2 linked regions of the Astyanax mexicanus genome follow. The protein of the gene in region 1 purifies or fractionates together with the protein of each later gene. This does not show direct contact. Links are inferred from orthologs where the notes say so. Each region holds a gene or a part of one and is shown on either strand. Other genes may lie near its edges.

Region 1 (7,414 bases):
CTGTTAAAAAAATTCATAAAATAAATAAAAATACATCAAATCATTAAAATCACAATTTAATACTATATACAAAAAAACAATATTATACCCTGAAACATGGTGCCATATATACCCCTAATTATCACATCAGGGTACTACTTTTTTTTTTTTACAGTTTTAGCAAAAAAATAAAAATTAAAAATAAATAAATAAATAAAAATGCATTAAAACATTGTACTCTAAACTATTATACTCTAAAATATCCAATTCCAGGCTTTAAAAATGCTTTAAATCTCCTTACTGAAATGAATCTATCCTTTTTGATCTTCTCTACATTCCACACTATTAAAAATATAAATCAATAAATAAATAGAAATAATACATTAAAAACATAAATTTAATACTATATACAAAAAATAATATTATACCATGAAAAATGGTGCCATATCACCCATCAGGGTACTACTTTTTTACTGTTTTTAGCAAAAAAAAAAAAAATTCACACTGTTCTCATTTCTGTTTTTTTACTTTAATCCTGGATATATAGAGATATTTATAGTGCATTATTATTATTATAAGTGTCATGACTGATCATTCTGGATCATTGACTTCTGTTACAAATCTGATAAAATTCTTGTATTATTTTAATATAACAAGTTGTTATTATTATTAGGATCACTTTTTCACAAAGGTCTAGATTGAATTGAATAGCTTTGATTCCTTAATAAATGAAACTATCATTCAAAAACTGCTTTAATGCCTCCGATATTAAAGTCTGTTTATCAATCTGAAAAATGTGAGTATGATAAAAAAAGCTAAACAAAATAAATCTGTATATGTCAAAATAAAAATACGTTTTTACAGCACTGTATCTCTTTGAAAGAGTCTCTCATAAAGCAAATATTTAACAGTCGGTCTAAGAAACCCCTGTGCTGCTCCTCCTCAGCCTCAGCAGCTGGTGCTGTTTATCAAGAGGAAGTATTTAAAATAGGTCGTCCAAATAAAGATGAGGAGATAAGTGGTCCGGCCGTGTGGAGGACAAAACAAAAGCCCCGAAAAACATCACAGAACTGCAGCGACACTGATTCATAACATTACAGCACATCACAATAACATGAACAGCTCATCCAGATATAACTGTAACATCATGTCATTAGCGCATCCTTTCTGTTTTAGCAATAACTTCAGTATTGAAATGACTCAGCTGTGGATTAAGATTCTTTTATGGTCTTTTAACTTCAGTGTGCTTCAAATAAAATGAGTCATAACTTGGTCAAGTTCGCTAGAAAGAATCCAACTATGGTGAATATAAATAAAATCATATAATCTCAAAAAGTAAGCATGTTAGCATTAGAATATGGTCACGGTCACAGTATTTGCATTATTAACTTATGGTACAATAAATAGTCATGACCTCAATCAGTTTAGTTGACCACAACTGTGCCAAATGTTTGTATTTACTAAGCTGGGAGAGCCCGGTTACATGAATTATCACATTAGTTATAATATATATATATAGACCATAACTGTTTAAAAATAGCTTTTATATATATATATATATATATATATATATATATATATATATATATATATATATATATATATATATATATATATATATATATATATATATTATAATTCCAACATTTAAATATACTTAAAAAGAATACATAAATAAATAATTGTTCTTTAAAATACAATATTATGCTATTCTATAAACATATGATTATATAAGTGATATAAAAAAAATTAAAATGGCAATAATTAGTAACATTTCACAGTAAGACTCACAAATAACAGGACTTATGATAAAAAAGTAATACAACTTTTTTAATGGTTAAGTAATATCAACATTTTTTTTTTAATTCACAACCTAATTATTAACCATTAATAAACTCCATCATAGATTTTTTTAAAAACCCTTTATAAATATATATATATATATATATATATATATATATATATATATATATATATATATATATATATATATATATATATATATATATATATATATATATAAAATGTTGACTTAATAATGTTGTAATGTTGCACTGTTAATTATAATTTTTTTTCTTTATTATTATATATTTTCTAACTCCATCATAGATTATTACAAAACCCTTTATAAAGGAGTCTCATTTAAAGTGACACCAACAAATATCACTTTAATGGTTAAGTAAAATTTCAAATAATATTTAAATTACATTTTCTCAGACTTTATATATATAATGTTGACTTAATGATGTTGTAATGTTTTATATATTGTAATTATTACACATTTTACACTATTTTACACTATTACACATTTTATGTTTTGTAACTATTTACTAATGGTCTATAAAGTATTCACAACCTAGTTATTAACCATTAATAACTCCCTAATACAAATGTGAGTTAAAAAGGAACTCTCACAAGGTGTTCAATGTATGTTTAACTAACTAACTAACTAACTAAGTGTTGATTTAACTCCAAATAGTGTTGAGCTACAGTATTTAAACCCTGAGAAAGAGTTAAAATCAATTACTTTCTCTGTGAGAGTAAGTTAAAACAACACATGACTTTTTGCTTTGCAATCTTCTCTCGAGAGGCCATTATAAAGCAAACCTACCTGTAATAACTGTGATCTTCGAGTCTCCAAGACCCAATACTGAGAAAACGCTCCTTCCCAGGACTTCCTCTTGAGTTTTGAGCCTCTTGAGAGGTTTTTGACCTCCAGTGTCAACTTGCTCCAATCTTCAAATCTTTAATCGAGCCGACCTCTGACCCCTGCTGTGGTTTGGAGATACGTAGAGATAGATTATGCCGGAGCAGAAGCTGCAGATGGTGTTCCACAGAGCTGGAGATGATGCTTTCCCTTGATTTATCCACCAGTGCAGATGAATCCGTATCTCAGGATTCAGGATATTGTGTGTAAAGTCCTCAGAGATGTTCTCAGCTCTGGTTGTGAAGCTCTCAGGCGTGTGAATGCATGGTGCGTGAGCTTCACTCTGTATTACTCAGGCTCTCCTCTCGCGCTGTATCTCTCACACCGTGCACAACGTCACTCAGCCCCGGGGCACCCTGGGTGTCACTGTCAGCTAACGGCCAATAAATGCTTCCACAGCTGCCGCCTCACCAGCTAAAAATACCTGCACCAGCCACCCGGCCGGGGGTGGGGGTGGGGGTTAAGTTGGTGGTTGGGGGTTGGTGGGGTGCAAGAGATAAGGTCCAAGCCTTGGTTCGGTGGAGTGCGAAGGCTAAACTTAGACTGATAGATCACTTCAGTCCTTCCGCTGTGATACAGACAGAAGTACTCAGTAATGCTGATGTGTGTGCCAGTCGTACATCTGTCTTTCTGTCTTTCTGTCTTTCTGGCTGCTGCTATTGTAACAGAGAAGAAAATGAATGAATTTCACCTAAATTGCTCCATTATTACAGGGGTTGGAGATTGAAATTGAAACACCTGGTTTTAGAGCACAATAGTTTATTGTGGTGACGGACAGTTCTGGTGGAAACAGGAGAGTTGAGGTGAACATTAAATTCTGCGTTAGCACCCGAACATCCCTTTCAGACAGCTTCCTCTTACAGCATCCACAGTTAATCCTGTTGGATGTGGTTGGTGCTTCTTGGTGGTATGCTGACATTACCCTGGATACCGTGGCTCTTGATGCATCACAAAGACTTGCTGTCTTGGTCACAGATGCTCCAGCAAGACGTGCACCAACAATTTGTCCTCTTTTGAACTCTGGTATGTCTCCCATAATGTTGTGTGCATTGCAATATTTAGAGCAGAACTGTGCTCTTACCCTGCTAATTGAACCTTCACACTCTGCTCTTACTGGTGCAATAATGTGCAATTAATGAAGATTGAACACCAGGCTGCACCAATTTAGACATGAAACCTAAAATCTCAAACTAAAATGATGACATGTGTTTCAGTTTCATTGTCCAACCCCTGTAGATAAAAAAGGGGTTAAAAACATGTAAAAGAGGTAGACAGCGAAATGTTCTAATCCAGATTATGAGAAGCAAGAACTACTTAACTAAAGTTTAGAAAATACTTTAAGTGAAAAATAATGGTCAGTTAATCCAAAAAGAAGAATTTCCAGAACTTTATCACAAAGAAAGGCTACCAAAAATGTTATGATGATGGAACTGGCTCTCTGTCATGGTGTGCACAGAATACAGACACTCGCAGATGCAGTAAAACGGGTTGTTTATTAAAATAGCAGGCAGAAAAAAGGGTAGTCGTACAAACAAAGTTAGAGCACCGGTAAACAGAAGCAACGTAGAGATAACCATACCATGAGTGAGATACAGTCCAGAGTTCAAACACAAGCAGGCCAACATCAGAGGTAATCCAAAATCGAAAAACGTGAAACAGTCCAGGTCATACACAAAAATATCCACAATCAGAGATAATCCAAAAATCGGCGTCGAGAAAAAACAAAACAAGGTCATACACGAAGATAACAGAGACAATAGAGAGTAACGCTTAGTAATGAGGAAAATCCAACAATACCCGGCACAGAAGTGTGTGAGAGGTGTCCTTAAATAGTGCCAGACTAATATTCGGGGCTTCCTGGTTGGAGCAGGTGAGGTGACGTGTGACTGGGTGTGTGCGTGTCAGCGGGTGGTGCGTTCTGGGTAATGTAGTTGTTAGACTGAGAACCTCTGTCAGAGCTGGGTGCGTGAGAAACAGAGGAGCTAACAGCACCAGATGTGACACTCTCATCAGGACCAAGAGTATTTTGGTTTGTTTAACACTGTTTTTAAGTTACTACATGGTTTCTTATGTGTTCCTTCATAGTATGATAGATCACTTCACTATTCATTTACTATGTAGAAAATATAATAAAATAGAAAAGCATCCAAACCTTTGACTGGTTCTATATATAAGTGTAACACATTGTGTAACACAAATGGCACCAGATTTGTGAATCCCTGAGATAGATAATTAAAGCTGTTCATGAAAAGACTTAAACAGTTTGATGTGATTCCTGTGGGACTCTTTATGCGTTTCTACAAGTGTCAACAAGAATTCATCTCCTAATCTTCTAATAAATTCAGCAGCACTGATTCTCTGAAAAATGCAAATGTCACTCAAATGCATCTTGCAATAATATGCAGAAAAGAGCTTTATGAATTAAGCTTTCCTTTAAAAAAAACTGAGCATATTATTATTATACAACCGTATTATCCTGTAAAAATAAATATCTGAATATTTATATATTAGATAATATTGAATAAATAGTCCACTTTAGTGTTGACTGTGCTGTGAAAGCAGTGCTCTCTGCTGGCAGATCAGTCGCATCACATGGACGGATGGTGCTGTAGAGGGTTATCTGCATGATGCCAAAGAATAATGACTTTTGTATTATTATTTAAAAAAATAAACACATAATTAATAAAATGTTTAAGTCCCTCCATTAATTTTTTAAAAGAGATCTCTCCTCCTCTATTCTTACCAGTTTAAGTCTCTTTCAGAATGAGCCATTTAAGGGCTCTGTCACTTTTATGCAAATTATCTGTTGCTGTTGCTGGTTTATGCTTAACTGCAATGGAAGCACAAAACTTCTTACTTTCCAAACTCTTATAAGTGATCCACAAAAAAAGGAATGGGTGGATTTTTTGGGTGATAGGAGTGTTTCTAGGGGCAGTTAAGACCCAAATGAAAATTTAAGAAAAAGCACAGAAAAAGTGAGTTTTGAATAGTAATAAATTCAGAGCACACTGAGAGATTAATCTAGATTAAAGGAATCTAGATCTCACATGATGTAATGTTTCCTAAAATATATATCAAAAATGAGCAAATAAATATAATAATAGCTAAGATAAATAAAAATAATTAAATATTCTAATTAAAAATGTAAAACAAACAAAATCAATAAGTTATGACCAATCAGAATCGAGGCATTTTTGATAGCAATGAAGTTTATGGAACTTTAAATAAACACAGCAAAAATGTACTTTATTTGTATACTCAAATGTAGTTGAGATAAGTAAAAACTAATTTTATTCCAACACTTTGAATGGCTTATTTATTGGTAACAGTGGGTTTATTGTTCATATGTACACTATTGTAAATGGATTTTAACAGAAAAATAAACATTTGCTGGAGTAAATGAGCTTTAGCCTAATGTAGAATAGTAATATATGAATTGATCTAATCTAATAATCTGATAGTGCTCTGTAATATGTGTGTTATATGTGAATTGATAATCTATGATAATCTAATAATCTGATAGTGCTCTGTATGTGATGTGTATCAGGTGCTGCAGCAGTTTTCTGCTCGGTGTTCTGTATTTATGGGCTGCAGGTGAGGCCAGAAGGTATCTTGACGTGGATTAGGATGGAATGTATCAGCAGAAGCACTGTTGACAGCACAGATGCTGCCGGCGTGTCGAGACACGGACCCTGAATATCACCATCCAGTTTTTACCATAATCCCACAGCGAGACGAAAAACAGAGACTCATCAGCATATTTATCAGTATATAACCTCAAAACCAGCGCACACTTTAATGCTGTATTGAGCTGATCAGGTTCAGTCAAACATGTTCTGTACCTGTATCTTAACATGCAGGTTATGTGCTATAAAATTAACAAATTAAAGTTGTTAAACAAAAAGTCTAAGTTAAATATATTTAAGGTATTAAACATTGTTTTCTTATTGTGACATCACAATTAGGGAGGAGCCATCCAAACGGCTCATAGAAACATATGATTCAAATAAATGATGTTTTGGATATTTGAAGTGTTTATGAAGTGAAAAAAAAACAAACATATGAAGTATACAAAAAAAAAGTTGACAAAGAGTTTTGCATAATATTAAACTCAGAGTTAATTCTACATTAAAGGAAATTTTAAACAAGAAAACTGAAGAAATGACTAAATATATATAAAGCAGGAAATACAGCTCTGAAAAAAAATAAAAGACAGTTTAAAATAATGAGCTGCACCAGGAGTGAAGGCATGAAGTTATCCAAAAGCAGTGTGTAAGACTGGTGGAGGAGAACATGATGCCAAGATGCATGAAAAAAACTGTGATTAAAACCATCCAGGATTATTCCACCAAATATTGATTGATTTCTGAACTCTTAAAACTTTATGAATATGAACTTGTTTTCTTTGCATAATTTGAGGTCTGAAAGCTCTGCCTCTCTTTTTGTTATTTCAGCCATTTCTCATTTTTTACTTGGAATTTGGGAGAAATGTTGTCCGTAGTTAGAATAATAGAATTAAACAACAATATTAATTTTAGTTTTATTTACAACAAACTTAATTTATTTGGAGTTTAATTTATTTTGTGTGGGTTTCCAATGCATCGAAAGGAAAGGAATTAGCAGCATTGTGCTAAAGCCGCTGTTCTCAGTTCAGTGGATGGTAATTTTTAATGAGGCGTTTAGGACCCTGGGGAGTCTGTTCTGTACTGAATGCCTGAGTCAGTGTAC
Region 2 (7,058 bases), on another chromosome or scaffold:
CTGCCCTTTTACTGAACTTGAGGAGAAATGTAAAAGCCCAAGACCAAGATGTTGCTGAAGCACAGAGAGCTCTGGTCTGCTGAGTTATTTTAATCTCAAGACTGTTCCTTCGCTGGGTGACCTACTTTGATCTTTGATGGATTGCACAGCATTCACTGGGACACTGCTCTATGTGCACAGCCTATATAAGCTGCCAAATATGAACTCAGCTGTGTGCTGGGCTTATGTACCAAAGATCGGCATTAACAAAGAAGCTCCACCAATCAGGAACTGTTTAAACACTGTAGCCACAGAGAAAGCCCCTTTATATTGTAATAGGTGCATATTATTCAGCCCCTGAAAAAGATTTGCAGTGGCAACAATTTCTGCATTTATGTCTGGTTTACCCGGCATTCATTACCTACAGCGTGGAGCTGAATTAAACAATTATTGTAAGACATTATTTCTGAATGAAGACGAATAAGAGACAAATAGAGGTGTAAATTAGGAATCCAATTTTTATCGCCATGTTATTGTGATGCATTCCACACGCTTAAGTGCTGCAATAACAGGACAGATCAAATTACATTACACACAAGAATAATGTGTACTACAGAGGCTACAATGCAGAGTTAGGATTTGTGTCTAATATTACATTGTTTACACCCTGATCTCAGTTTATGAAAAAAGACAGATTTGACCACATGAGTGCCAGTATCCCCATTTATCCATCCAGCCAAGCATATATCCCACCATTTCAGTATTTCACTGTTTCACTATTTTGCACAATGACATTTTATAATGTATGGGTGGTCAATCTGCTTAAAAAAGAGGCTAGTTGATTATGATTATTGATTATGTAGGTCTTCCCTTTAATTTCTCATTTGTAACTACTAGTCATAGTAGCTACTGTGAAAAGGTCAAACACTGTCTCTGAAATGGTGTCTGCTATTAAAGAACTGTCCTGCTATTTAAGACTTTGTATCTGCCCACTGCTAAAACAGTATTTGTAAACCAGAGCTGCTCTTGCCTTAAAACCAAGCAGATGTTCTATTAGTACAGATGCCAGCTGTTTATCATAGTGTGTGGTCACATGACTGTTCCTCGCCATTATGACGGCATAGAGCTAAACAATGTACACATAGATAACAATACACAAAATATACAGAACAAAGCACAGGAAAAGCTTATCTGTATTAGCATTTAGTTTGCAAAACTAAATTTCGAGACCGACATGTGATCTTTTATGAAATATTTACATATAAATATACATTTTGCATTTAAATAACAGACTGCATAACAGCATAGCTCCACTTGGCTGCTGCCAATGCTAGAAATGTTGTTTGGGGTAGAATTTATGTTAATGGGGATTGTCATTTGCTTTTTAAGTGCTTTTTAGGTCAGGTGCCCATCACAACTCTCCATAAGCATAAGTCTCAGAAATAGGAATCTATGTGTTTTCTTTATAATTTAATACAATTAAAATCATTCAATTTGATCTACCTCCTGACAGAAAAGACAGCTATTATCAGCCCAAATGGATATTTTCCATTTAAATATAAAGACCTGTCCACAAATAAAAAAAAATATGTATTGTATACAGCAGCAACAGCAGCCTAGCTCTCTTCCACGTTCCCTCTCTAACAAATATTATTTGCTATTTTTGGTAATTTTTCAGTCAGATGGCCATCAAAAATGTACACCTGTAAAACCTGAACACACCAGTGTAATTAATTTGGATCAGTACATCAGCATAATAATCACTGTATTATACATCTGTTACAATTCAATTTGTGGTGAAATGTCTTCTTGCCCACTTATCCTCACAGAAATAACATAAAAGCTATTTACTGACTTACAGACTGAAATACAACCTGTACAAAAAAAAGAATACACATTAAAAACTATAGATTTTCCAGCCTAACACACAAATTAAGACTTGGACATGTTTTTATGTCTCAGATTTGAGCTCTGCAGTTCAGACTGCTCCACAACCTAGCTCCTTCACTTTCTCTCTATAATAATTAATGGGGACCTCATGTGTCAGATGTCCATCAAAACTATCTGTACACCTGTAACATCTATACACGCCAGTGAAATGATTGTACAACTAAAACAACCATTACAATTCAGTTTGTGGTGAAGGGGTTCTTGTACATTCCTCACAGACCAGCTCCCCCACTCTCTCTCTCTCTCTAATAGCGAGCGTTATATCTGTCGGTTTGTTGTTTTGGGGTAAAACTGAGGTAGATGGGGATGCTTTTTTGTTATTTGCTTTTCTGGTTAGATTTCCTCGCAGGTGCTTATTAAAACTATCTGTACTGTCAGAAATATGGGTAGTTATGGTACAGGGTAGCTCGCTCGCTCGCTGGTCCGCTATCAGAGGCGCTGTTATCGGGTACAGGCTGCACACTTCCCCGCTCTGGAAGTAAAGCTAGAGATACCGTTAGCTAGCAGCTTGCTAACTAACATACTGACATCTAAAACAGCGCTAGGGATAAAAAGGCAAAAATCAATTAAAACGCTCGGTGTGGATTTAAACATGTAGAGAAGGAGCCGAGAAAGACTGCACTGTATTTATTTAAATTGAGAGATATAAGAGTTCAGAGCTCAGCTGGGCTCGCAGTTAGTATTTATATCCGCCTCGGTTCTGCTAAGCGCGCTAGGCTAGCGGAGGAAGCTCTTATGAAACAGATGTTGGGGTAGAAATCCCCCGCTGGAGCTGAAGGGCACAAATAAACACTCAGGATCAGAAAACAACACGGTAATAAGTGCTGATTCTCACCGCGCCGGTCCGAACTGTCCTTAAGGGTCTCTGGAGAAGCAGCTTCTTCGCGGTGCGATCAGCCGGTTTAATGGTATTCGTTGCGGGGTGGCTGCGGTGGGCAGGCGGGGCAGCTCCGCTGTGATGCGGGGCCGCTGCTGCATCCTCTACTGTGTGCAGGCGGATTCAGAGAACAGCAGCTCAGCCATGCCTCTCACCACACACTAGAGGTGGAAATCCCAGGTCCAGAAATAAAAAATCCAGCCCGGGGTTTGGTACCAACTGCTTGGGCGGCTCTGGGTAGAGCCAAGCTGCAGCAGAGCCTCCCAGGCAGTTGGTACAAAACCCTGGGATGGATTTTTACTTTCTGGACCTGGGTCCCCCCCCCTCATCTTAACACACACGGCCTTAAAAGGGGAAATCTCTTTTTGGATATTAACCCTTCGCTGCTGGAGCCACAATTATACAGCTCTGGAAAAAAAGAGACCACTTCAGTTTCTGAATCAGTTTCAGTGATGTTGCTATTTATAGGTACATGTTCTAGTAAAACTACTGACATTTCTCCCAAATTCCAAAAAAACAAAAATTGTCATTTAGAGCTTTTAGATCTTAAATAATGCAAATAAAACACATTAACTTTCATAAAGTATAAAGAGTTCAGAAATCAATGTTTGGTGGATTAAAATAGTTTTTTTAAACACAGTTTTCATGCATCTTGGCATATCCTCCTCCACCAGTCTTGGACTTTTTTTCTTTTGGATAACACTCCTGGTGCAAAAATTCTAACAGTTCAAGTCCTGAAGATTTAGCAACATTTAGCATCTACACAATATTAGACCCATCTTTTTAAACATATTATAGGATGGAAAAGTAGCTAATGAAACTATACCAAGGCTGGCCACAATCAAAGAAAGTAGTTGAGGCATGCTACCAAAATGGACATGCACAATTTTTCATTCATGTTTTTGCTAAACTCAGTCCTATTACTTTCACTCCTGTTACTCAGTGAGTGCCAGTAACAGGAATGTGTGCCAGTAACAGAAGTGAATGCCAGTATAAGGACTGAGTAGAGTCCCCTAGTTATTGATTTATTAATGTAAACATTAGTTAATGTACAGTAAACCGCCATTTCCAATTCTGCTTGGGTCATCATTTTGCCATTTGTTTAATAAACTGCATGATAAAAAATGATCAATTTCTGGTTTGGGTCTTCATAAAAAAATTACAAAAGACTTCACATCTTTTAGAAGTGCATGCAATTAGTGTTTTTTTGTTATAATATTAATTATTCAAACATGCAGTATACGGAGGAATTTGTTTTTAAAATGTTTTTTTTAATGTCAAGTTTTGGTAACAGGAAAGAGAAAAATCATCTTCAGATTAGAAACCTTGTAAAAAAAAAAAAAATACCAGTACATGTTTTGAATAGTTACACCAAGCAAATGGCACCCATTTGGTGGAATGGCCCATTAGTATAGTCAAATGGAATAAAAAGGCAAATGGAAGAGTTTTAAAGTTATTTAGTCTCCAGCTAAATTTATGTCCATAAAGTAAGCTAGAAATGCTGTACAATTTGTAGCTGATATTAAAATGTAAAAACTGTTATTTGACTTTTCACTCAGTATTTAAATTAAAATTGTTTCTGGTTGGTTCTACTGCTCAACTGAATGATAAACCATACTCCTAAACCTTCATTCATTTTTAAACGGCCATAACTCTCTGTTCTGGGCTTCCTGAAAAAAAAAAAATAGAAAATGGTTCGTATTTGTACATATTTAATTTTAACATAGATGTCCTTTGTAAACCATGTTCAAGTGGCAGTTAAATTTCTAAAGACACATTAATGTAAAATATGAAAAAGATATAAAGCAAGCATTTTATATATTTTTTATATACTGTACATAAAAATAGTAACATAAGAGGCAACATACACTACAAGCATGTCATGAGGAATTGCAGCACTCATTGATTTTTGTAAAAAGCTTGTATAAATACATTTTTAAAATGTACGAGACACATTGGCCTAGTCATAGTAGGTTCAATACAACCAAACATGTTTCAACTTAACGAAACATTTCAGCAGAAAGGTAAGGTTAAAGGGTTTTATTCATGTTTCGCTTGACATCTAAAAAAAATGTTGGATCAAGTATGTGTGACAGTCATAGGCCTAGTTATTTCGACTGGGAAATTTGGATTGGTCTCCATTGGTCTTCATGCTGTTTACATTGACATCATGCGACCAAGAAGACACCTAACAATTGATCAACCGTACCTCACCACTGCGAGGCTTGAAACAGGATGTTTTTAGACGGAAGTGTCATCAGCAGGTTGCAACAGTGATGCAGAAAGACTGAAAGTCAGAGAAAGGCATAGAAGTGGACGTCATTTGGTCAAACCCTACACTGGTGACCACTTCATTGTGATCTGTGCCCTGCGGAACCAGATGATTCATGCCACACAACTCCAGGCACATGTAAGGTAGGTGCGAGGCACCCCAGGGCTGTTCACTGATTAAAATCTATTCACACAGAAGAAATGGCAGCCACCAAAAATGTTGGAGAGGTCAATGGGGAACACTATGCATCAGTCCCACTGCAGTTACCAGACGAGCCCTACACTTTGTGAATGGTTCGGTGAAACGCCAATACTACTCAAATTACATCATCAATCCAGTCAATGTGTCTCTGCATGAACACATGCCTAATTCCACCTTCATGGACATCCACACTCTAGCTCATGGAGGTTGCATAATTAGGGAACAGCTGCTGGAGACTTACCTTAAATGAAGTGGCCTGCCATTTTTCCAGACCTGAATCCCATAGAAAACAAAACTCTATCCTAAAACCTCAAGGACCTGAAGGTCACCCTTCAAGAAGAGTGGGATGCCATGACTCAGCAGACAAAAAGTATTGTGATCAAATTACAATTTATATTAATTCTATAAAGACTAAAACTGAACTTCACAACCTATTATAATAACAGTATTTGCAAGCATAAAAAATGGTGGTACACCTTATTAAAATGAACCAAATGAGCCTCGTTGTATAAGTAAAGACTTCCATTTATTACAACAAAAAACAAAAAGGGGGGTGGAATCAAAACAAGCTAATTAAAAAAAAAAAAAACAAACAAAAAAAAACAACACTTTGAATTCAATGGTAACCAATCCAAGTAAGCACTCAACATAAAAGTTGAACAGAAAACTGTACAGACTGAAGCCACTAGGAACTGAACTACCGGCGTTTCTGGAAAATGTTTCCTCTTGCTCCCGGCCCGCCCCGGCCCCGACCTCTTGCAGCCACTAGAGGATTAAGAAACGAAGGAAAAAATAAATTAATTAATAAACAAACAAACAAAACAAACACTGGGTCACTCATGGGTTATTACTAGGAAACAACTGCATTATGTCAATACTAATTTATATATAAATTAAAATACAAAATTAGTACATATTTAAAATGTAAGATGTAATAATTTTGCAGCCAAAATTGGTAAAAGAACGAATTAATTAAAAAATAAACAGGTTAAATATTTCAGCTCAATCATGTGTATTAACATTCACAGAACTAGTTCATGAACATCTAGCTGGAGGAACTGTTTGGCTCAAATCTACAGAGAGCACATTAGTGGTTAAAAGACAGAAAACATCACCATCTCTGTTTTCTGTCCCCAACTTTCTTTACTGCTTCAGAGCAACAGAAACATCTGACCGCGGCATTTAAAGGCTCTTTAAATGCCCAATGTTTAAACGTGAGGTGTTCTGATATTGAGTAAGAAAATTCATAATCTGTTGTGTTTGGTCCCTTTTGTGGTCCAAGCTTAGTGTTAACTGAGTGACTAAGAAGCCTTAACCCTCCTGCACTTCTGTCCCCAGAATTGGATTGCAGTTACTAATCAACTATTAAGCAAAACTGAAATCTGGAGTACAAATATTTCTAACTGAGATTTATATCAACTAATCATCCTTTTAAGGGATATAACAGGACCAAAGGAGTCTGTTAAGGGGTATAAATAGACCACAAAAAAAACCCACACACAAACCCACCCATCCACACACCTGTAACAATCAAATCTTAGATACTGAAGGATTACCAAAACACTCAGTTTCATTCACTTTCCCTAGGGTTTCCACTAACCGTGCATGATCAGTCAGAGCTTTTAACTACCACACCCATATGCTGCTAAAATCATCTACACATTCAATTTCTTTAACGTCTACAGATTACTAGTCACGCACACAAATATGTAGGCAGAAGTAAATGCAAAAAGCAATTTTGCACTTGACAGAACAAAGCTTAAAGCCTTGCTGTCTGAA

What was found.
Region 2: the proteins of obsl1a (region 1) and calcium/calmodulin-dependent protein kinase kinase 2 purify together in Homo sapiens (affinity purification with mass spectrometry; 4 studies listed by BioGRID and IntAct, with this or other methods). This does not show direct contact. The link is inferred for Astyanax mexicanus from reciprocal best matches to the Homo sapiens genes OBSL1 and CAMKK2.

The regions. Positions count from the first base shown.
Region 1 is NC_064412.1:56,530,222-56,537,635, forward strand, and holds the start of obsl1a (obscurin-like protein 1a), read right to left. Parts: upstream 3,021-7,414; 5' UTR 2,591-3,020; intron 1-2,590. UniProt on the Homo sapiens protein: Core component of the 3M complex, a complex required to regulate microtubule dynamics and genome integrity. It is unclear how the 3M complex regulates microtubules, it could act by controlling the level of a microtubule stabilizer.
Region 2 is NC_064424.1:38,891,510-38,898,567, reverse strand, and holds the start of calcium/calmodulin-dependent protein kinase kinase 2, read right to left. Parts: upstream 3,006-7,058; 5' UTR 2,765-3,005; intron 1-2,764. Other genes in the region: snrpd3l (small nuclear ribonucleoprotein D3 polypeptide, like), read right to left, coding at 5,977-6,044. UniProt on the Homo sapiens protein: Calcium/calmodulin-dependent protein kinase belonging to a proposed calcium-triggered signaling cascade involved in a number of cellular processes. Isoform 1, isoform 2 and isoform 3 phosphorylate CAMK1 and CAMK4. Isoform 3 phosphorylates CAMK1D.